Linked DNA regions of Arabidopsis thaliana. The protein of the gene in region 4 interacts with the protein of the main gene of each other region in a pairwise test. Each region holds a gene or a part of one and is shown on either strand. Other genes may lie near its edges.

Evidence for each region.
Region 1: the proteins of AT5G42190 (region 4) and TLP1 interact in a two-hybrid assay, tested with the Arabidopsis thaliana proteins (3 studies listed by BioGRID).
Region 2: the proteins of AT5G42190 (region 4) and UFO interact in binary tests that used the Arabidopsis thaliana proteins (3 or more experiments, as listed by UniProt).
Region 3: the proteins of AT5G42190 (region 4) and AT5G67140 interact in a two-hybrid assay, tested with the Arabidopsis thaliana proteins (2 studies listed by BioGRID).

The regions. Positions count from the first base shown.
Region 1 is NC_003070.9:28,879,358-28,886,493, forward strand, and holds TLP1 (tubby like protein 1), read left to right. Parts: upstream 1-2,181; 5' UTR 2,182-2,643; exon of another isoform or gene 2,644-3,360; 5' UTR 3,361-3,383; coding exon 3,384-3,743; intron 3,744-3,839; coding exon 3,840-3,927; intron 3,928-4,007; coding exon 4,008-4,140; intron 4,141-4,233; coding exon 4,234-5,020; 3' UTR 5,021-5,666; downstream 5,667-7,136.
Region 2 is NC_003070.9:11,033,505-11,038,561, forward strand, and holds UFO (F-box family protein), read left to right. Parts: upstream 1-2,487; 5' UTR 2,488-2,675; coding exon 2,676-4,004; downstream 4,005-5,057. Other genes in the region: AT1G30960 (GTP-binding family protein), read right to left, coding at 4,251-4,335, 4,422-4,561, 4,655-4,829, 4,924-5,057. UniProt on the Arabidopsis thaliana protein: Component of SCF(ASK-cullin-F-box) E3 ubiquitin ligase complexes, which may mediate the ubiquitination and subsequent proteasomal degradation of target proteins. Considered as a meristem identity factor required for normal growth of the young floral meristem.
Region 3 is NC_003076.8:26,792,091-26,796,893, reverse strand, and holds AT5G67140 (F-box/RNI-like superfamily protein), read left to right. Parts: upstream 1-1,524; 5' UTR 1,525-1,680; coding exon 1,681-1,769; intron 1,770-1,875; coding exon 1,876-2,022; intron 2,023-2,263; coding exon 2,264-2,399; intron 2,400-2,491; coding exon 2,492-2,590; intron 2,591-2,669; coding exon 2,670-2,885; 3' UTR 2,886-3,014; downstream 3,015-4,803. Other genes in the region: AT5G67150 (HXXXD-type acyl-transferase family protein), read left to right, coding at 1-1,014; AT5G67130 (PLC-like phosphodiesterases superfamily protein), read right to left, coding at 3,245-3,445, 3,554-3,640, 3,713-3,936, 4,023-4,326, 4,419-4,517, 4,599-4,736.
Region 4 is NC_003076.8:16,853,245-16,858,242, forward strand, and holds AT5G42190 (E3 ubiquitin ligase SCF complex subunit SKP1/ASK1 family protein), read right to left. Parts: upstream 2,498-4,998; 5' UTR 2,273-2,497; coding exon 1,931-2,272; intron 1,425-1,930; coding exon 1,251-1,424; 3' UTR 947-1,250; downstream 1-946. Other genes in the region: PER64 (Peroxidase superfamily protein), read left to right, coding at 41-203, 380-777.

The DNA.
Region 1 (7,136 bases), on a different chromosome or scaffold from region 4:
CATGTGGAGTTCAAAAAATCATCATGATGAAAATTGACAAAATTGTTTAAGGTTATATGTTCCTTAACATTTACGAAATTATGCTTCGTATAGGCATCTCGCTTTAGAGATTCTTTTAAGCACACACACATACTATGTACGTGTCTGTATGTATGTTGATCAAAATTTTAGTAACCAACTTGGTTTTATTATATTCTCTGGCTCTCTGCTGCGTGACATTGAAGCCCTCCTGATCTTAGGTGAATAGGTCTCACTCGCACGCACCACGTTTATTTCTTTCTTTTCGGTATTTAAAAATACTACTAATCATTCAACCTGTTTTTGTATACTAGTGGCTTTGCTTTTGGGTTTTGTTCTGTTCGTGCCAACTTTCATTTAAACTATTTAAACACAGTGCAATGATATATTTAGCTACTTTATCTTTCAATTGGTTTTACTTACATTGTTATCTTTGTAATTTCCTATTCCTTACACTACGGCCGGTATTAGTTGTAAACCTGGCTATATTATATTTTAGAATGATATAGCATACCAGTAAGACAGTAAGTACTTTACATTATCATACATAAAGATTAATCGAACATTTTACAGTGATACCAAAATAATATGAATAGTCAACATTTTCATGGGTCTTGTTTACAAAACTGCAAAAATATCTGCAATTTCCTAAGGATTTTCATTTATATTTCTGTCACTATCTCTTTTTTTGTCAATAACATGCATTACAATGAATTTAAACTCGATGGTGACACAATAACAATACTAGTATATATAAACCATTAAACTGCAAATTATAGTTGAATATCACTAGTTTTTCAAATGAAAATGGCGAATAATAGTAAATGGTATTAATGAATAATTTGAAAATGGTAGTTTAGTGGATAAAGAAGACCCCAAAAACTGCCACTAACCATGATTTTCCTTATATTTTCAATTTTCCATATCATATGAGATTAGGCCTCTATCTTAGTCCGAGGGTTTAAAGGTCAAAGTCAACCTCTTCGATGTGCCTTACCTGCCACGACGTATCGCTTTCCAAAATTTCCGATTCTTACAAATCTACAAAATTTATTCTTTTTGTCGTTTTCTTACAAGAATCGGGAAATAGTTGTTTCTAGCTTGCAAATCTTTCACAGCATTGATTCCTACAAAATAAATAGTACCACTCTTGTATTTTAATAAATTGAACACATCTCTTTCTCCACCTATGCCATACCAATGATCTTTTATTTCTTCTTTTCGTATGTGGTTCTTGGTTTATTAATTATCATAATAATAAACAACAGATACTATAGTCGACATATATATTTGTATATGTTTGTTATCGCATCTATCTATAATTCTCAATGTCACTTCTACCAAAAATCGCGAAGTAGTACATGATCAGGGGTATTATAGGTACTTGACACGCCATGTTAGATGGAGATTTTGTCTTTATGACGAGTGTGTGTGTGTTGCTCAACTAATCTCACATCACGGATTAATCAATCTCAGCCGTTCAAATATATAGAATAAATAGCCTTTTTTTTACCTTATCCATTTATCCATATCTATTTGTTGTTCTCACGTAATCAATCTTCCCATTTTTTTACTAAATAATTAATAATAGGTGAAATATATATATATTTTGGTTATGAAAGTTGACAAATAATTAAGAAGTTTGAAGAAATCGACCAAAGCCAAATGATAGTGGAATTCAAATATAAAGTGAAGTCCAATCAAAGGGATATGATTTTGCTACAAAAGGATAGAAAAGCTTTATGAGTTTGAGACTTGTCGTTTCCGCATAGATTTGCACTAATGAACTTATTGTGGCTGGCAGCCAAACACATCTGTGTGACTTTCGATATTAGTAATAAAGAGTTTAAATAGTTACGTTGGTTTAAGAAAAGTTTACAAATTTGATTTCATCTTTGGGCAGATAGCCATCAATTATTTTATTAATCTACATTTAAAGATTGTTTTAAGAGAAACCAAAGTTGAATAATCTCATCAAAGAACGGTAGGTAAACCCTACCAAATTTAACAACCCTTAAAACCATTTTCTGTATTCACATTCATTTTTTGTTATACTCATCATGGACTTTTTTTTTTTGTTTTGGTAAAAAACATGTACATATTTAGATGCTATCAACAACATGAATGACTTACAAGTTAAGAAACAAATCTCTTTTTTTTTTTGGGATAAAAAGAAACATAAATCTTACCAAGAGATAATCTCTACAAAATTGTTTTTTCAGGATATTTCCAAGAAATGAGAGGAGGTCAACGACTAAAAACAACTTGCTGAATATTTAAAAATCTTTTTCTGCTTAGTGGAGGCATTTATTTTACATTAATTTTTATGTTTTAAAAACATAATGTTATTATATAATTAAATTTCTTGCACAAACAGAGAATATTATTAATATATACTGTGAAGAGTAATAAAACAGTTTCGTTTCATTAAATATTTGATTGAATTATAAAAATAGTGAAAAAATAGAAGATGTGTTCGTGTTCGTGGAGCGGAGGACAACGTAGTTGGTTTCCGCGTGCTGTACGAGACAGATAACTTCTACAGAGAGAAACAAAGATCGAGACAAAAAGAAACCCTTAAAGGATTTGAACGGAGAAGACGAGGAAAAACAAAGACACAACTCTGTAAGTTCTGACCCAATTTTTTTTATGTTTTGTCTGGAAAGTTTCAAGATTTGATTTTTGTGGTTCTCTTTACATTTTCTGGGTTTTGTGTAAGCATTTGATGTGTGGAGTGTCTCTCTTTTTGTTATTCGAATTCATTATCAATCTTTTGTGTGTGTTTCATGTAGATTTGCTCAATTTTTAATCTAGATCTAACCAAATTAATTAACTAAAGATTTAGATAAGAAAAGCCCTAATTTGTGATCTACTATATGATCCAGAATCTGGAGTCTTTGTTTCTACTTGATATATGTAAATCTTGAAAGTTTCCTTTTTTTTTTCTTCTCTTCTTGAAGTAGTAAAGACTTTATCTTTTCTCAATTGAATCCAAGAATGATTAGAGGGTTTATTTATTTTGGGACCAATAAACAGACTTTGTTCTTGGGGGCAGAGACTGTTTCTTTCCCTTTTCTTTTTTTTCACTTCTTTAGAAGATTCTTCATTTGAATTCTGTCCTTCAATTTTGAAGTTGTCTTGTTCTCTTTTTTACTAAATGTGAATCAAAAGAATGTTTTCTTAAGTTTTAAAAAAGCCTGTGGTGGTTACTGCTTTTGGTCCATTGATAAGAAGAATCTTCTTTTCTTCTCTTCTCTTCTCTTCTCTTCTCTTCCGTGTCATTGCTTTGTTATTAAGTATCATTCAGAATTTGAATCAAAACTCTACTTTTGTGTCTTGCAGAACCTTTAGAGAGAGAAAAACAAATGTCGTTCCGTAGCATAGTTCGTGATGTGAGAGATAGTATAGGAAGTCTATCGAGGCGTAGTTTCGACTTTAAGTTAAGCAGCTTGAACAAAGAAGGTGGTAAATCCCGTGGTTCGGTTCAAGATTCTCATGAGGAACAACTTGTAGTAACGATTCAAGAAACACCGTGGGCGAATCTACCTCCAGAGTTATTACGTGATGTGATCAAAAGACTTGAAGAGAGTGAAAGTGTGTGGCCTGCTCGTAGACATGTTGTTGCTTGTGCTTCTGTTTGCAGGTCATGGAGAGATATGTGTAAAGAGATTGTTCAAAGTCCGGAGCTCTCAGGCAAAATCACATTTCCTGTTTCGTTGAAACAGGTTAGATTTCAATTCTTTACTAATGTCATCATCACATATGTTTTGGTTAGTCTTATGATTGGTTATTTCAAGTAATTTCTTCTTCGGTGTTTATAGCCTGGACCAAGAGATGCAACAATGCAATGCTTTATCAAAAGGGATAAATCTAACTTGACTTATCATTTATATCTTTGTCTCAGTCCTGGTAAAACTTCATTTTCTCTGTTTTTGTTCCAAGTTTTTCTCTGTTCTCCAAAGCAAATCTGAAAGCATGAATATTTGCAGCTTTGTTGGTTGAGAATGGAAAGTTTCTTCTTTCTGCAAAACGCATAAGAAGAACTACATACACCGAGTACGTGATCTCTATGCACGCCGACACCATTTCGAGATCAAGCAATACCTACATTGGCAAAATCAGGTAATAGGAAAGACTTTGCCTAGTTATAAGACATTTAGAAAGCGAATGTGCTAATGTTTCCGGCTTAACGCGTGATTATCTCCTCTTTGGCAGGTCTAATTTTCTGGGGACGAAGTTTATAATATACGATACACAACCAGCATACAACAGCAACATCGCTCGAGCGGTCCAACCGGTAGGTCTTAGCCGCAGATTCTACTCAAAGAGAGTCTCTCCCAAAGTACCTAGTGGGAGCTACAAAATTGCGCAGGTTTCTTATGAGCTAAACGTTCTTGGTACCCGTGGTCCGAGGAGAATGCATTGTGCGATGAACTCAATTCCCGCCTCTTCCCTTGCGGAAGGCGGAACTGTGCCTGGACAGCCCGATATCATTGTCCCGCGCTCTATTCTCGACGAATCGTTCCGCAGCATTACCTCTTCGTCATCGAGAAAAATCACTTACGATTACTCGAATGATTTTAGCAGTGCACGGTTTTCCGACATTCTTGGCCCGTTAAGCGAAGACCAAGAAGTGGTATTAGAAGAAGGGAAAGAGCGGAATTCGCCACCACTTGTGCTTAAGAACAAGCCGCCGAGGTGGCATGAACAGCTTCAGTGTTGGTGTTTAAACTTCAGGGGACGTGTAACAGTCGCATCAGTTAAGAACTTTCAGCTCATTGCAGCAAACCAACCACAGCCTCAGCCTCAGCCTCAACCGCAACCTCAACCCCTAACTCAGCCGCAACCGTCTGGTCAGACCGATGGTCCCGACAAGATCATATTGCAGTTTGGGAAAGTGGGAAAAGACATGTTCACGATGGATTTCCGGTATCCGCTCTCTGCGTTTCAGGCTTTCGCTATCTGTTTGAGCAGTTTCGACACAAAACTTGCTTGCGAATAAGTCAAAAACTCAGCTTTGTATGTAATGTTATCAGATTTGCTTTGGAGATTCTTGTTTTGTGGTGTTTTATTTTCACCGAGAATCTCATAATTAGATTTGTTTCAAGCTTTCATTGCTTATGCTGTTTATTGGTGCAACCAAAAAGTTTATTCGAGTTTGGTTTTTCTCCATAGTTTGATTTGTATTCATAACGGTCAAAAACATAAAACGAAAATAACAATAAATCATTAAGAAGCATTGGTTATTGAAATATATGATATATCTCCGATTTTCACATTGATAACAAGTTTGATATTAGAAAAAAAAGGATAATATATAAGAACAAAAAATGGACAAACTGTTTTATGTAAAACATCAAATTATGTTAAGGGCAGGAAAGGAGAGATGAGAGAGCAAATGACAGACACTGAGAAGTGAGCACACTGCTTGCCGACTTGAGGTCAGAGCAGGTTTTAGAAAACGGCAAGCATTCCTTGTTTGGAAAAGCTAGATGGCATATAACCAGCGTTATTTGTTACCACGGTGGTACGTACGGACCGACGCGACTTCCCGTTAGAAGAAACATCGGATGATATGAAACACGCCCTCACGTATGTGAAAGACAGAAATTTCAATGGCTGTCTTCGAGATTTATAGTTACTTTTTCGACATTTTTAATTGTATTAGTTGTAGATTATATTAGTGTCAAACTATTGTATTATATTCATCTAGAATTCTATAGTTTAAAAGACCAATCGTCTGTCAATAAGGTGTGAAGAGTCCATCAAGTAGAGAGATCCATCCCACGTTAGCACATCATTTTAAATTTACGTTCTTTATGAAACATTTTGTTCAAGTTCTTGAATAGTTTCGATAGGTGGTTTAAATAAAAGTAATTAATGCCAAGGAAGTATGCTTGTGTTTATTTCCACGAACAAAAGATATGATTCAGCCCTTTTTTGTTGTTAATATATTTATTTGGTGGTCGAATTCGAACTCACAATGTCATAAAAGTTTAGCCAAACTTGTTAATGAATATTGGTGATCTTGTTTTGGAGGTGTGGACCAATCAAACAACAAATCAACCACTATGTGTGGATTTTTGCGAGGAAAATAAAATGATTGGATAATTAAAATAAGAATTGACCTAACTACGATAGTTATAGTTTAATTAACCAAGTTATGTGACATAATCCATTTCTTAAAGTATAATTTCATCTCATCTTGGTGATCCAAAAGGCAAAAATGTATTTGAAGGGCCATATCGGATAGTCGTCTTTAAAAGGGTCAATGACTCAATGTGGCTCAGTTCTAGTTGCCGCTTTTGATTAGTAAAGATCAGTAAGATTTTAATTTCATTTTCTAAACAGATATCTGATAAGTGATAAGCTAAATCATAAGACTAATTTGGTCTATAAAATTGTACTATTTTCCTTGGTCAGACATGATTCGTTTTCTTTTGGACCTTTTTGAAAACAACATTAAGATTATTTTCTTCTTAACCGATCTTAATCAAGAAAGTGTATTATGAATCTTAGTTTGCAAATGACATATTATCCTTTATCGAGCACGTCAATATTGAACGTCAAATTAATCACGGTATGAGGTTTATGTATGTGTTTAAATATATTGTCAACTAGCTACAAGAGTGGTGAAGCACTAAATCACACCACCAAAGCTTGTGACTTGGTTGTGATTACTCTCATGATCTATTGTAATCTTGTTGTCAGCGTTTTGCATTCTAAAATTCTATTACAAGGACTAAAACATGCAATACAGTGATTTAATAAGTAAGATTTGCTTAAAACAAGCACAACACATGTAAATTGTTAATCGAATGTTTTCTGCGGCTAAAGCCTGAATATGGGAAACTCAAACTGTTTGATAGATTTTCGACTCTTGATCCATATCTCTAGCCCAAAATGTTAACCAATAGAGAAGACCAGCAGCGTATTTGTAACTTGGTTGTACATGTTCAACAAAAACACAAGTTTTGTTCACTAAAATTTGCTAGCAAAAAGTGCCAACTCATGAATAAATTCAGCATCGCTTTTTTTTTCTCTGGCTAAGAAGTAGTGGTGAATGATCCAATATGGAACGGGTAATCCAATATCATTAGGAATTGTAATGAAGCATT
Region 2 (5,057 bases), on a different chromosome or scaffold from region 4:
AGTTCTTCTTACAAATTACAATATCAATTTCCACTTTGGGCCGGAAATTTATATCCATAACTCTACTACGTACCAATTAACACATGTGTGTAAATAAAACTACATAATGGCATGAATGGAGTTTCGAATCAGTTAATGTGGGCGACAAAATAAAATCAGATTATGTTTTATTATTAAGTTTAGAAAGAGATGCTTCATTAAAAGTTTATGCTTTAATGTTAAATCAGACTATTTATTATGGGTACGACTTGTAAGCGTAATTCAAAGTTAAACAAAACCTAGTTGGGAAATGGGAAGATAGATGATTTGATAAAAACAAGACACTGTTTGGTTTCAGAGACTTCCTTTAGCATCAAAACACAAACAAAAGCGAAGCCTCTTGAGTTACTGCAAATAGAGAATATTATTACCCTTTTGCGACTTGTCAGCTTCAGATATTCTCACTTGTATTATTATTTTCACGGTAAACAATGCCTTAAATAAGAAACCCTGATTGGACTTTTGATCTGACTCTACTCTTCACTCTTTCTTCTTCTTTATTTTCAGTCATGATGTCTCTCTAACCCTAATCTCAAAAAATCCAAACTCCTTTTATTTATTTCTAAACCTTGATTATAGCTAGCAATGATTAATATAAGAATTTTTTTTCTGGATAAAGAATTAATTAGAAATTGAGTTGTAAATGTTTTGTGATGTCTAAAATTCTTTTGTTTGCAAATTAGATGTAAATTGATATATTTGAGATTTGTATGAAAGCTAGTTTTATTTTCCCTAAACAAGAAGTTCATTATCTTGGACTTGGAGGTTTTAGAGTTTGAAAGAGTTTACAATTTATAAGAAAAAATAATCACTATATATATATATATAGTGTATATAATGAATTGTTTCACATTAAATTGCAACAACATCAAATAAGGGTAACATACTAACATATAGTTTGTTTGTTTACTCTTTAAAAAAAGGGGATAAACTAAGAGCTATTTCTGCTATAATTTAGGAACAAACTGGATCACATGACAAAAATGCATCATAATTCATATTAAATTTTGTGTATATCTATTTCTCATGTTTAGAAATAACATTCTTGTGTGTTATACATGTTATCAGTTTTTCTTCCTAGATGGAAGTTTTATTGTTGGAGTCTTTTAAAACCATACTCACTATGTTCCTCTTTATTTGATGTTTTGGATTTTAGATAGAAATTAATAAAAAATATGTTTTCTATTTTTATAAAATTATTTTTTTGTTAGTTTAGTAATTTTATTTTTCTTTTTTTATTATTAGTCACAAGCAAAAATAATAACAATATTTTTATAAAACATTAATTTTGGTCGAACAAGTAAAAATAACTCAAAACATCAAATAATTAGAAACTAAAAAAGTAGATATTGTCAAATTTTGTGTTGAGTTCGAATAAGATAATGTGGTCTCCTCCAACAAAATTATTTAGAATAAATGCACTTCTATGACATTAGAGAACCAACTAATTTATTTAGAATAAAACACACATATATATTAACATATAAAGTAATTCTAATTGGCTTGATATAATATATAAGTAAAAAAATGATCTTAATAATCTCTAGTTTTCTTGGGTTGATCTCCACGAGTACAATTTGACTGACCATTATAGAAGTTGAGAAGCGTGCATGTAATAAAAGTTGTATATTACAAATTAGAGAGGAAAAAGAAAGAAAGAAAAAAGATTTGAAGATGTGATCAAGTGTGAAAAGTATTGGAGTAGTCTCCAAATTAATAATTTCGATGCTGGGCATTGACAAGATAACTCTGAAGCTCTCAACTTTAAGACCATCACTTCCTCTGCCACCATTTTCACGTTTACCCAAACACACACATATACAAACAAAATTTTGTTAGTCAATAATTATCACCAAACTGGGGTTATAACAAGGCTTTTGGATACTTGTGCTTGTTGATGTTCTAGGTTCGTATGATAACAAAGTACATCCGTTATATATATTCGAAACACACTTTAATATTAAAAATATATATCCAATTTTCTTGTGAAATTTAGATTATTTGGAATTAAACCTATTTCTCTTGTCTTGGCCACTTGACCGGTTTAGTTTTTTAGACGTATTTTATTATTTCTGTTTAGAAAATAACAACATATATCAACTGATTTTTTACTTCCAATCTCTTTTTGTCAGCACACAAATAGAAAAACGTCTGTAAGCTAAGCTATCAACTAAAACATTAACATATATAATCTTTTACGTTGATAGAAAATAAACATAAATTTCTGAGTTATTTTTTTTTTGGTTGGTGTGTCACTACTTACTTACTACTATACCTTTTTAACAATAAAGAAACACTATTTCTTTTTCTATTCAATATAATATATGTTTTCTATTTGTATAAATCCATTACCTTTGTTTGTTTTATACCAAATGTTCTTTATATATAAGTATATGCCACCTTACTCTATTGAAGTCAAGAACATATCAAAAACCCATGCAAGAAGCTCACAGAGAAAGACCAAACACTTTTGTCTCTTTCTTCAAAACTTTTACATATGATCTTTGCCTCTTTTCCTACAATGGGTTTTGCATAACTTTCACCAAAACCCTCCTCAAAAGCCCTTCACATATTCCCAACACAAGAAAATAAACTCTAAATCCACTTTCACCAAATCTTTTCATTTTTCAGCTAAAATGGATTCAACTGTGTTCATCAATAACCCATCTTTAACCTTACCTTTCTCTTACACATTTACCAGTAGCAGCAACAGTAGCACAACAACGAGCACCACCACAGACTCAAGCTCCGGTCAATGGATGGACGGTCGGATTTGGAGCAAGCTACCACCTCCTCTTCTTGACCGCGTCATTGCTTTTCTTCCACCTCCGGCGTTTTTCCGGACACGTTGCGTCTGCAAGAGATTCTACAGTCTACTTTTCTCCAACACCTTCCTCGAGACATATCTACAACTACTTCCTCTCCGACACAACTGTTTCCTCTTCTTCAAACACAAAACCCTAAAGAGTTACATTTACAAGAGAGGAGGAACAAACGATGATGATTCCAATAAAGCTGAAGGCTTTTTGTTTGATCCTAATGAGATCCGATGGTACCGTCTCTCTTTTGCTTATATCCCTTCAGGGTTTTATCCTTCAGGATCATCAGGAGGGTTAGTGAGTTGGGTCTCCGAAGAAGCTGGTCTTAAAACCATTCTCTTGTGTAACCCTCTTGTCGGATCCGTGAGTCAGTTGCCACCAATATCAAGGCCAAGGCTTTTCCCTTCGATAGGTCTCTCGGTAACACCAACCTCTATTGATGTTACTGTCGCTGGAGATGATCTCATATCTCCTTACGCTGTGAAAAACCTCTCATCGGAGAGTTTCCATGTCGACGCCGGCGGATTCTTTTCCCTCTGGGCGATGACTTCTTCTTTGCCACGGCTTTGTAGCTTGGAATCTGGTAAGATGGTTTACGTGCAAGGCAAGTTTTACTGTATGAACTATAGCCCTTTTAGCGTTTTGTCCTATGAAGTTACTGGAAACCGGTGGATCAAGATTCAAGCTCCGATGAGGAGATTTCTCAGATCTCCAAGCTTGTTAGAGAGCAAAGGGAGGCTTATTCTTGTAGCAGCTGTTGAGAAAAGCAAGTTGAACGTTCCCAAAAGCCTACGACTTTGGAGTTTGCAACAAGATAACGCCACATGGGTCGAGATCGAACGGATGCCTCAGCCGCTCTACACACAGTTTGCAGCAGAAGAAGGTGGAAAAGGATTCGAGTGTGTCGGAAATCAAGAGTTTGTAATGATTGTGTTAAGAGGAACCTCGTTGCAGTTGCTGTTTGATATAGTGAGAAAAAGCTGGCTGTGGGTCCCACCGTGTCCTTACTCCGGCAGTGGTGGCGGTAGCTCAGGTGGCGGTTCAGACGGAGAGGTCTTGCAGGGTTTTGCTTATGACCCGGTGCTTACTACACCGGTGGTTAGTCTTCTTGATCAGTTAACACTTCCATTTCCTGGAGTCTGTTAGTTTTTAGACTTTAAGATAAAGAGACTACTTGTGGTTTCCACTTCTGACGTTAAGACTGCTTGTTGTTTTCTCAAAATTCTGTTTCTTTTATCTTATTACTGTCTGTATGTAGTAAGTTTATATTTCTAATGTCAAATGTCTAATCTTTGACAACATGTCAACAACATATACAGACAGATTTCTAATTGCGTACAATCCAATCCTAAATCCATCAAACTCAAAAACATAACCCTTGGGAGAATGGTTTCACTTGAGCTTAACCTGGAGAATGAGATGAACTTTGCGGTTCATTATTCTCCTGAGTTCTTCATTGGCCTCAATTCCTATCCTCCTGCAAAATTAGCATCAACATAAGATCATCCTTGAGTCATTGATTAGTCAAAAGAATGAATTATGAACGATCTTGTATGCTCTTACCCGATCTTGCAACCGCCCTTGCCTACAAGAATCTTGCGTTGGCTAAGTTTAGGAGTGATGAGATGCTGTTCAATTCTAAGAGACCCGTCACGCAGCTCTTTCCAGTCCACTAGACGGTGCTCCAGACCATATGGTATTTCCTACAATTTGTTTCAATCAATCCTGTAATTTGTCATCTTGGAATAGACGGAAACTGATACAAAATGTTATACTAGTAGAGGTTGTATTATTACCTGATGGACATGGTCTAGTAATCTCTCCCTAACAACTTCAAGAGAAATGTTCTTCAAGACTTCTTCACTCATCGTGAATGCATCTTCTTCCCATGGTTTTTTAACAGCCTGATCCATTAAGTATTGGGAAAGATCTTTCACTCCTGATCCCTTAAGTCCCGATATCATGAAGTATCTAGAAAACCAAACAGGGAAAAAGCACATTTCAATCAATTCGAAGACTTCCCCGGTAATTGTTTTTAAACTGAGTCTGGTATATATATATCCACCTTTCATATGCCGGAAGATCTTGGAACTCCTCAGCAACCTTTAATAGATCCTTTTTCTTCTCAACCAGATCAACTTTGTTCATACATAAAACGCGCTTTTGTTTCGGATTTTCTTCTTCTCCCATGTATTTGAT
Region 3 (4,803 bases), 9.9 Mb from region 4:
TCGGTTAGTGATGTTTTAGAACCTGTTGATAGTAATGTCCCTGAGTTCTTGAATCGTTTTTTCCCGGCGAATGGTGTTAGGAGCTGTGAAGGAATCTCGGAGTCGTTAATTGCGTTTCAAGTAACGGAATTGAAAGATGGGGTTTTTATAGGGTTTGGTTATAATCATATTGTTGCAGATGGATCTTCGTTTTGGAGTTTCTTCAATACTTGGTCGGAGATTTGCTTTAACGGGTTTGATGCCGATCATCGGAGAAAGTTTCCTCCTTTGCTTCTCCGTGGATGGTTTCTCGACGGTATTGAGTATCCGATTCGAATTCCGTTACCGGAGACGGAGACACCGAACCGGGTTGTTGTTACTTCATCGTTATTACAAGAGAAGATTTTTCGAGTCACGAGTAGAAACATCTCTGAGCTTAAAGCGAAAGCTAACGGCGAGGTTGACTCCGATGATCGGAAAATATCGTCGCTTCAAGCGGTTTCAGCGTATATGTGGCGATCGATAATCAGAAACAGTGGTCTGAATCCGGAAGAAGTGATTCATTGCAAGTTACTGGTGGATATGAGAGGAAGACTAAACCCTCCGCTTGAGAAAGAGTGTTTCGGTAACGTGGTCGGATTCGCGACGGTGACGACTACTGTGGCGGAGATGCTTCACAATGGGCTTGGTTGGGCTGCATTGCAAATAAACAAAACTGTTGGGTCACAAACGAATGAAGAGTTTAGAGAGTTTGCTGAGAATTGGGTGAAGAAACCGAGTATATTGAATGCTAAGGCTTTTAGTAATTCTATAACAATTGCTAGCTCTCCTCGGTTCAATGTGTATGGAAACGATTTCGGTTGGGGTAAACCAATAGCGGTTCGAGCTGGACCGGGAAATACCACCGATGGTAAACTCATTGCTTATCCGGGGATCGAAGAAGGAAACATCGAGTTTCAAACGTGTTTATCGTCTAGTGTTTTGGAAAAATTATCGACTGATGAAGAGTTTTTGAAGCATGTATGTGTTGTATAAGTAAAATCAACCAAATCAAATGTACTTTTTTGTGTGTGTCTTGAATAAAGTTGAAGATGTGAAAACAATCTTTGTCAACAGAAATCTATTTAGATAGTTTTCCTTCTTTACTCTTTGTCTTTTAATGAATAAATTAACCTATAAGTAATTTGACAAAATAACTTCTTCTTGCATAAACACATTGAACACGAAAAGTACAAACGTAAGATGAGAAAAGAAAATTACAGATAACGTCATGTCAAATTTAACAATTAAAGTATGTGTTAGTTCACTAACATTTAAATATTTTGTGAAGCAAGCAACACAAAAAATAATGTATTTTTGAGTGAATAAGAAAGATCTTTTATTACGCACCGTAGGCCGTGGCATGTGCCACGTGGCGTACAGAAGAAAAAAGACGGAGTCCTAGAGGTATTCTTCTACGCAAAATCTTGGACCGTGTAATAAAAACATTTATTAAATCATATAAATTAATTTCAAATTTTTTGTTATAACGATTAAAAAATATGACGGAACTATGACCACATCTTCTGCAGTTAAACCATGAAAAAGACAACATCTGCTTCCTCTGCAATTATGAAGAACTAATGATATATACAAACAATTCTTAATACATAAAAATCTTCTACAAATATTGATTTAAGAAGCTCTAAAATCATACAAGTCATGGATGAAGAAGCAGCGATTGATCGTTTACCATTAGACCTTCTTGCATATATATTTTCGTTGGCTACTTCTTTCACCGTTTTGGCCCAGTAAGTGTTTTCATTGATGATCCTTACAAGTTTGATCCTCTCTTTTTTTGATTAAATAAATCATTGTTGTGAGATTGAAGTTTTTGGTGAATTTTGGGGTTTTTAGGGCAAGTGGTGTTTGCAAGAAATGGAGAAAAGCTGTAAATCAATCGATGGCGAGAAGAGAAACTCTGAGCTTTGCTGGTTGGAAAATGGACGATGATTCCACTTCTCGTCTCGTTCATCTTGCTTTCAACCTCAAAGAACTCGACATGTAATCTCTCTCTCTTTCTCTCTGTTTTGCTCTTTGTTTGTTTCTTGTACTATGATCGTACTTGATTTGTCCTTCAATGGCGGATTAAGAGTAAACAAGATTGGTGGGATAGTGGAGATTTGCTGAATTTTTTGGTCAAGTTTCCAACTTTACCTTTAGGGTGTTTGAGATAGGATATTGACTTGGTCAAAAAACAGAACAGAACTATAAACTCTGTTTTTTTCTTCTTTCATATTTGAAGATCTCGAAGCAGATGGGGTTGTCATATAACTGATAATGGTCTTTACCAAATAGCTTCTGCAAGATGTGTATCCAATTTAAACTCTGTCTCTTTATGGGGCATGACCGCCATTACTGATTCTGGTGTTGTTCAACTGGTAAAATCTAACACCGTTTTTTGTGCACTGGAATCTTGAAGATTCCTTTTTTGTTTTAATCATTTCAGAGAATCTTGATTTTGATTTGACAGATTTCAAGAACTTCCTCACTGCAACACCTAAACATAGGAGGAACATTTATAACCGATGAGTCTCTTTTCGCAATTGCAGAACGCTGCCATCAGCTTAAGGTAACAACAATCATCTAACCAAATAATTCTCTCTAGATTCATGAGAATCACGCTTTCGAAATTGGAATCCTTTATGCAGACAATCGGAATGTGGTGTTGCCGTCATGTGACAGAGAGAGGCCTTCTTGTTCTTGTAAACAAATGCAGAAAACTCGAATCCATCAACTTATGGGGAACTAGAGTTCCTGTAGATTGCTTCATTGCTTTACTTACCATCAGTCCTGCTCTTCAGATCAAACCCATGGAATTGCTTCTCAATGCTCAGAATCCACCACCGTTGCTGCATGCTGTCTAGTGTTGCTCATCATATTTCTTGTTTGTTGTGTACATAGTAATTCATACAATTGAATCTGCATATATCTTATGTGTTCTCTCATCAATCAACAACATATATATATAAATATTCAGTAAAGTTTCTATTGGAGTAGAATTGTGTCTATATATATATATATATAAGTTGCATAACAATCAACAGAAGCTGAAGACACACATACACAAGATTTCTGCCTATAGCTCTGCAGTCTACAATACAAGAATCAAATCAGAAACTCTTTCTAAGGCAATTCATGTCAACTTAGGCTCTCTCATTCGTTCTAAAGAAGTGATCAAGATTCTCTAACCTAAGAATCTCTCCACGTGGTTTGATTGGTTGTGTCATAGTAGAAATATCAGCAACGGAAGCAATGAGAAGCAGAAGACAACAATGTTGTTTAGTTGGGCCACAGAAGCTAAAGATCTTGAGAACTGAACTGAACCTGAGTAGCTTCCACCTGAGTTGCTTCCAGCCGTTGAATCCATGCTTGGAGTTCTTGTCTGTACAGTAACATTTTTGCATGAACCATAAGCTGCTCCTGGCTGCAACATCAAGAACCAAAATACGGGTGCCGGTTTTAGATAATTTAGGCTTGTAAGATCTTATTTCATACCCATAAGTAACTTTGGCGCGAGTTAATAAGTTAATACCTGGCAAGCAGAAAGAGTTTCACAACCGCAAAGTACCGGTCCATTCATTCTATCCAGAATTTCGAAAACGCCGCCTCCATCACTTCTCTGCAATATTATGGTTTGTTAGCTAGATCTCGTAAAAACAGTCATATTATAGTTATATGATTGATTCAGTACCATGTAGAAGTTAACAGCAAGAAAGTTTGGCATTCTATTCCCTCCTGACTTGAGACAAGTCCCAACCATCTCAGCAAGTGGAGCTGAGTGCTCCTTGCAAGCGTCTTTCTCAACCGGATATGTCGGGAAGTAATTCATCAAGAATAGCGAAGAACTTTTTGAATTTAAAGGTTGAGACTCTTTTCTGTTAGGACAAGAACCTCGCTTCACTCCGGGATCCCCAGCTTTAGACAATCATAAGAAAATGGCAAGAGAAGGTTATTCTCAGAGACAATTTTCATTAAAGATATAAACTGTGTGTAATACGCACATTCATTTTCAACCATGTATCTCCACTGATACGCAACGCCTTCTTCATCTTCTTTGGCAGCAACAGAAGTGAAAACCAGGAGCCTATGATTCTCTTGCACCATGTCAGTCACAGTAGGCCAATCTTCTCCCTTTCTAGGCATTTTCGAAACAGGGAACCAGTATTTGTCCAAACCAGCGTTGGCAAACAGTGTTGATAAGCCTTTAGGTCTGTGCACATAATCCTCTATTATGATGGTAACAATCTCTGTTGGGTTTTGACTCAGAAATGCCTCAACTTCCCTCAGTATGTTAATTGCAGGTTGCTGATTCAAAAAGAAAACAAAGTTCACATTTACCAATCCAATCAGGTTTCAAGCTTTCGATCCAGCAAGGTTAAGCTGAAGATAAAACTTACAAAAGCGGTGAAGTTGAAACATTGCCCTCGAAGCGAATGGCAAAGCCAGATATCATTGTTGAAGTCATACATATCCAGCATTAGCCCTCTAACTCCATTCTAGAACAAAAATATACATTCAAGAGTTTTATCCAAAAAAAGAGGAAACTATAATAAGAGAGTTGGTAATAAGAGCATTACTTGTAGCTGATTAGTAATAGTATCTTCTTGATTGTAAAATGTAATCCTCTCAACACCTGGCAAAAGTGGTGCATTTGCATTGCTAAAGGCATTATGAGTCATCAACCATGTATACTTGTTAAAAGGCAATCCATTGATCTACAAAAAACACACACACAAATTTCATCACCACATCTTCAAAGTTCAAAACTTTTGATACAACCAA
Region 4 (4,998 bases):
AATGATCCACCTAAAATATTATTTGTGGATGTTACTATAGTCAGGAGGGCCTACATGGGCAGTGCCAAAAGGGAGAAAAGATGGAAGAATATCAAAGGCAATAGAAACAAGACAACTACCAGCTCCTACTTTCAACATTTCTCAATTGCGTCAAAATTTTGGCCAAAGAGGCCTCTCTATGCATGATCTTGTTGCTCTCTCTGGTATTAAACATTCTCGCACTCACTTAAAATATATTTACAAAGATTTCTAAAATCTTTTTCTTAAACTATGCTAAAAGATGCAACATAAATCTAAATTTTAAAAATAATTGGCAAAAGACAAATATAGTTCCAATGCTTATAATGGTTTAAATTCCGAATGTTGAATGAAATGGCAGGAGGTCATACACTAGGATTCGCCCACTGTTCATCGTTCCAGAATAGGCTCCATAAATTCAACACACAAAAGGAGGTTGACCCAACACTAAACCCCTCATTCGCAGCCAGGTTGGAGGGAGTGTGCCCGGCCCATAACACGGTGAAGAATGCTGGATCGAACATGGATGGAACCGTGACGTCATTCGACAATATCTACTACAAGATGCTTATCCAAGGCAAGTCACTATTCTCATCCGACGAATCGCTTCTTGCAGTACCCTCTACTAAGAAACTCGTGGCCAAATATGCAAATTCCAACGAAGAGTTCGAGAGGGCTTTTGTGAAATCGATGATCAAGATGAGTAGTATCAGTGGGAATGGCAATGAGGTCAGACTTAACTGCAGAAGGGTTCGCTAGAATCTCAATCTACGCTTCCAACATCACGTTACTACTACATTTTTATGTCTTTCGTTTTCTTTCGTCACATTGATTACTTGTGAATGGGCCTTTCTAAAGATTAAGGCAGAGGTTCTTGTATCAGAATTATCTATCAATCTCTCGTGTGTGCTTGTATAGGCATTTATTTACAAGTAATAAGATCTTTTCTCTTTCTAAGAACATGCAGACAAATCTTATCACTTGTGTTCACAACCTATCTAAATGATTGACGAAACAATAGAAGACCAACACTCTCTTTTGAGCAACAACTTCAATATGTTTCGTAGTTAAGTCTTTAATTTGACATACATAACATAACATTAACATCCGACCCACTGTCTTAGCTGGACCATCACGTAGAAGAGAATGGATATATAGTCAAAGAAAGAAGATAAGACAGGGAGACACAAATGGGTCGAGGACATGACAGCAACCTAGGTCTTCATTTTTCTTCATTCAAACGCCCACTGATTCTCACGGCGAACCTCTTCTTCTTCCTCTGGCGTGAAGTCGTTCTTGATATTGAACGTCTTACGGATTTCTTCTGGGGTTTTTCCTTTAATCATATCAGCCACTGTCTGGCAAGTCAAGTCCAACAGTCCCTTGATATTCAAGTAGTTAGCAGCCTAAAAGGTGTCACAGGGAAACCAACTTAGATTCAAGCTCTTCAACTTTCAGATAAAAATGGAACTTTATTGTTCAAGCAAATCAAACATATTGAACTACGATTCCAAAGAAAATAAACTTTATCACTCGTTTCAGACAGAACAAAACATGTCATGTTAGCATCCAAAAGGTTTCTCAGAAAAACAAATCTAGATTCAAGCAAATCCCAAAGAAATTAAACATTATCCAATGTTTAAGACAGAACATAAAAAACATGAGTTTGGATGTAAAGTGGTCTTCAGCTATAAACAAATCCAACAAACTCAAAAGAAATCTCTTGACACTTTTTTCTCTATCAGACCATATATTTCAATCAGACATGATCATAGTTTAAACTGTGAAATTGGCAATCTAAACAAAACCTGAACCCTAAAATTAGATCTCAAACAGAAATCAAGATCTCAAACCCTAGAAATGAAATCGCAAACTTTGAAAACCAAAGCAATTAAAAATAAGTTTGACAAACCAGGATAAGATCGAAGAGAGTGCCCTGATCAACTTTGATAAACTCAGAATCCCAAGTCTTGAGATCTTCATCACTAGAACCCGACGCGACGGTGGTGGTAGTAGTAGCAGCAGCAGCATCGGCCGTGGTTTCGGATTTCTCAGCAGCTTCGACATGTCTCTTACAGTACTCAATCACCTTCGAAAGGATCTTGCTTGTGACATTAGGGAGAGGGATACCATTATCGGTACAGTCATCTTCAATCATATGTTTGATGGTTTGTGACTCTAGCGCCACCGCTTCGTCAATTTCGAAGTTTTCGCCATCCGAACTCTTAAGAGTGATTTTTCTCACCGTCGACATTGGTTTTTGCTGAGTTTAGAGACGACGTGGAGGCTGAGGAAGAGAATCGTGGAACAGAGAGATGTGTGTATGGGTTAAATCAAAATGTTTTTAAAGCCCGGCTCACACATTGAACCAGTGAGATCTAACGATTCCCAATTGACTTTTTTTACCTATAAATTTTCATTTTAAAACATTTTCTCTGTTTTTTTCTTTCAAAGGAAAACACCTGAAAATTAATTCAACTCTTTTCATCAACTTTTGATTAATCAGTAGTTGAACAGATACTAAACTCCTCTATTTGTAGGATGGTGTGTATAATTTAATTGGATTCATGTGATTTGATTTCCGGTAATATTTTTCTTTGAACATCTTTGCAAATAAAGAGTTAAGAATCATAATCAATTGCGGCAGTTGTTTTGCTAATTAAGTTGTATTAAAATCATCCACATTCTAGAAACCAAGTCCACCGTTACGACAAAACTTATTTATTTTTTATTTTATTTTTCTTATTTTTTTTTAATTTTAAATTTCCATTAAAACAAACAACAAGTTATAAGACAAGTGTCCAAACATAAGCACACAGGCTCGAAAACATACACATCCAAAAGCTCAAATCCAAGGCGCGCAGGCCCGACAACAAGAGCAAAGCCCAAAACAACCAAAGAAGCTGAAACTTAAAAATAGCAGGCCCAAAAACCAAAAGAACGAAGAGGGAACGACCCAAGGACTCAAAAAACTCATAAGGAAACCTGAACCGCAGAGGAGGACCTAACTGAAGAGACGGAACCAAGTAGCAAGCAGAGAGGCACCCGGAGGAGGAGAGGGAGAGCAGAGAGGCACTATGACAAAATTTATCTCATGCCTTCCACTGTAAACGTTTTGTTCGTCCATTGGAACTCTACCAAAATTTCGTTACTACATTCCTAAGTTTTGATGTTACTGATTTTGGTAATCTAAAACAAGACAATACATAAGTAAGCAATGCATCTGGTACTGATTTAATCAATACTTCTTTGCCATCTTTAGATAAGAATTTTGTAAACCAACCATTTATTCTATTATGTAAATATTTTCTAAAAGAGTAAATTTTTTTTGTCTTAGATCCTCCTAAACTTTTCGATAATCTCAAGTAGTTGTTCATGTCCCCTATATTAGTGATTTCGAAGATTGCCATAAGTTTGTCCATCATCGAGTTGTCAACTCATGACCAAAAACCTCTTCATAGTTCTTTAGTATTCCAAATCCAATGACGCATTGTTTTTTTTGTCGTTTTACAAAAAAGAAGCTATCATCCACGAACATAAGTGAAATATTGAGGGATTCGCTTGTAAAAATTTCATCCCCGCTAAAATCTTATCTTATTAAATAAAGTGAGAAAAATCTAACTTGCGTTATCTAAATTTTCACCAAAGCATAATCGGCCATTATCCTAGTAAAAAATATGGGCCAATAAAAAATATATTTAGATTCACCCCTTTATTCACCTTTTTATTCCATTAAATTAGAATTTATACCTAATAAATAAATTAAATTTATTTTATTATAAAATCTAATTTGCCACAAGAACAAAATTTTATATAGTTTTGGGTTTATAAGAAAGGATTGAAGTTTAGATTTTACTATTAAATATCGATTTGAGTTATAAACAGTTTTAGATTTTATAACTAAACGAGATTGAACGTCTGTTTGGTTTTATAAATGGATTTAGATTTTATAATTAAACAATGTTAAATATCGGTTTGGGTTTAGAAAGAACGGTTAGAGATTTAGAGTTTGCAATTAAAAGAGTTTAAATATCGAATTGGGTGTACAAAGAAGAACTAGGGTTAGATTTTATAATTAAACGAGATTACATTTTGGTTTGAATTTTTTAAAAAGTGGTTAGAATTTAATTTTTTTTTACTTTTTATTTAGAATTTAGATTTTTTATTTATAATTAAATAAGTTTTTTTAACTTTTTATTAGGTAGTATATTCTGATTGGCTGAAATAAAAAAATTAGGATTTAGATTTTATAATTAGACTAAATTATATATGAGTTTGAGTTTATAAAAAAATGATTATGATTTAAATTTTATAATTAAATGAGTTTAAATTTCTTTTATTAAATAACGAATTCAGATTGGTTAAAAACTTAAGATAAGAGGAAATAAATAAAAAGATTTACCTAATAAGTGAACCCAAATATTGTTCACTAGACCGTAAACATGGATTTTCTCAGCTATGCTGAAGGAGTCAAGACAAGACCAGGTCTGAATAACTGAATACATGGTCAATTTTATAGCAGTCAATTTTTTTTCTCGAAAAAATCAGTTGTTGCAATTTTTTAGTACCGTCGATTATTTTATACATAATCAGCTCTAGAGATTTTATGCATTGATGCTTCTGTAATTATACTTTTTAATTTAATTTCTGTTGTATATTTTGAATGTAGAAAAGATTCTAGAAACGAAAATAAAAACATTTTAGTAATAAATTAATGTAAATAATATAAAAAATACATAATGTAAATTAATATTGTTCTTTATATTAATGTAAATTAATGTAAACCAGTCTAGTAAATATAGCGCCTATTTAATTGAAATTTATTTGTTAGAAAATAAATAACTACTTTAACGCATTATCTTCAAGTGCTATCTTCTTTAACTTTTTAGTGGATTGGACTTCTCCGTCGCCTCTAATTCCTAGAACATGATTGCTATTATTTTATACAGCTCTCAAACTAAAGTACTTTTTGTAAGCATA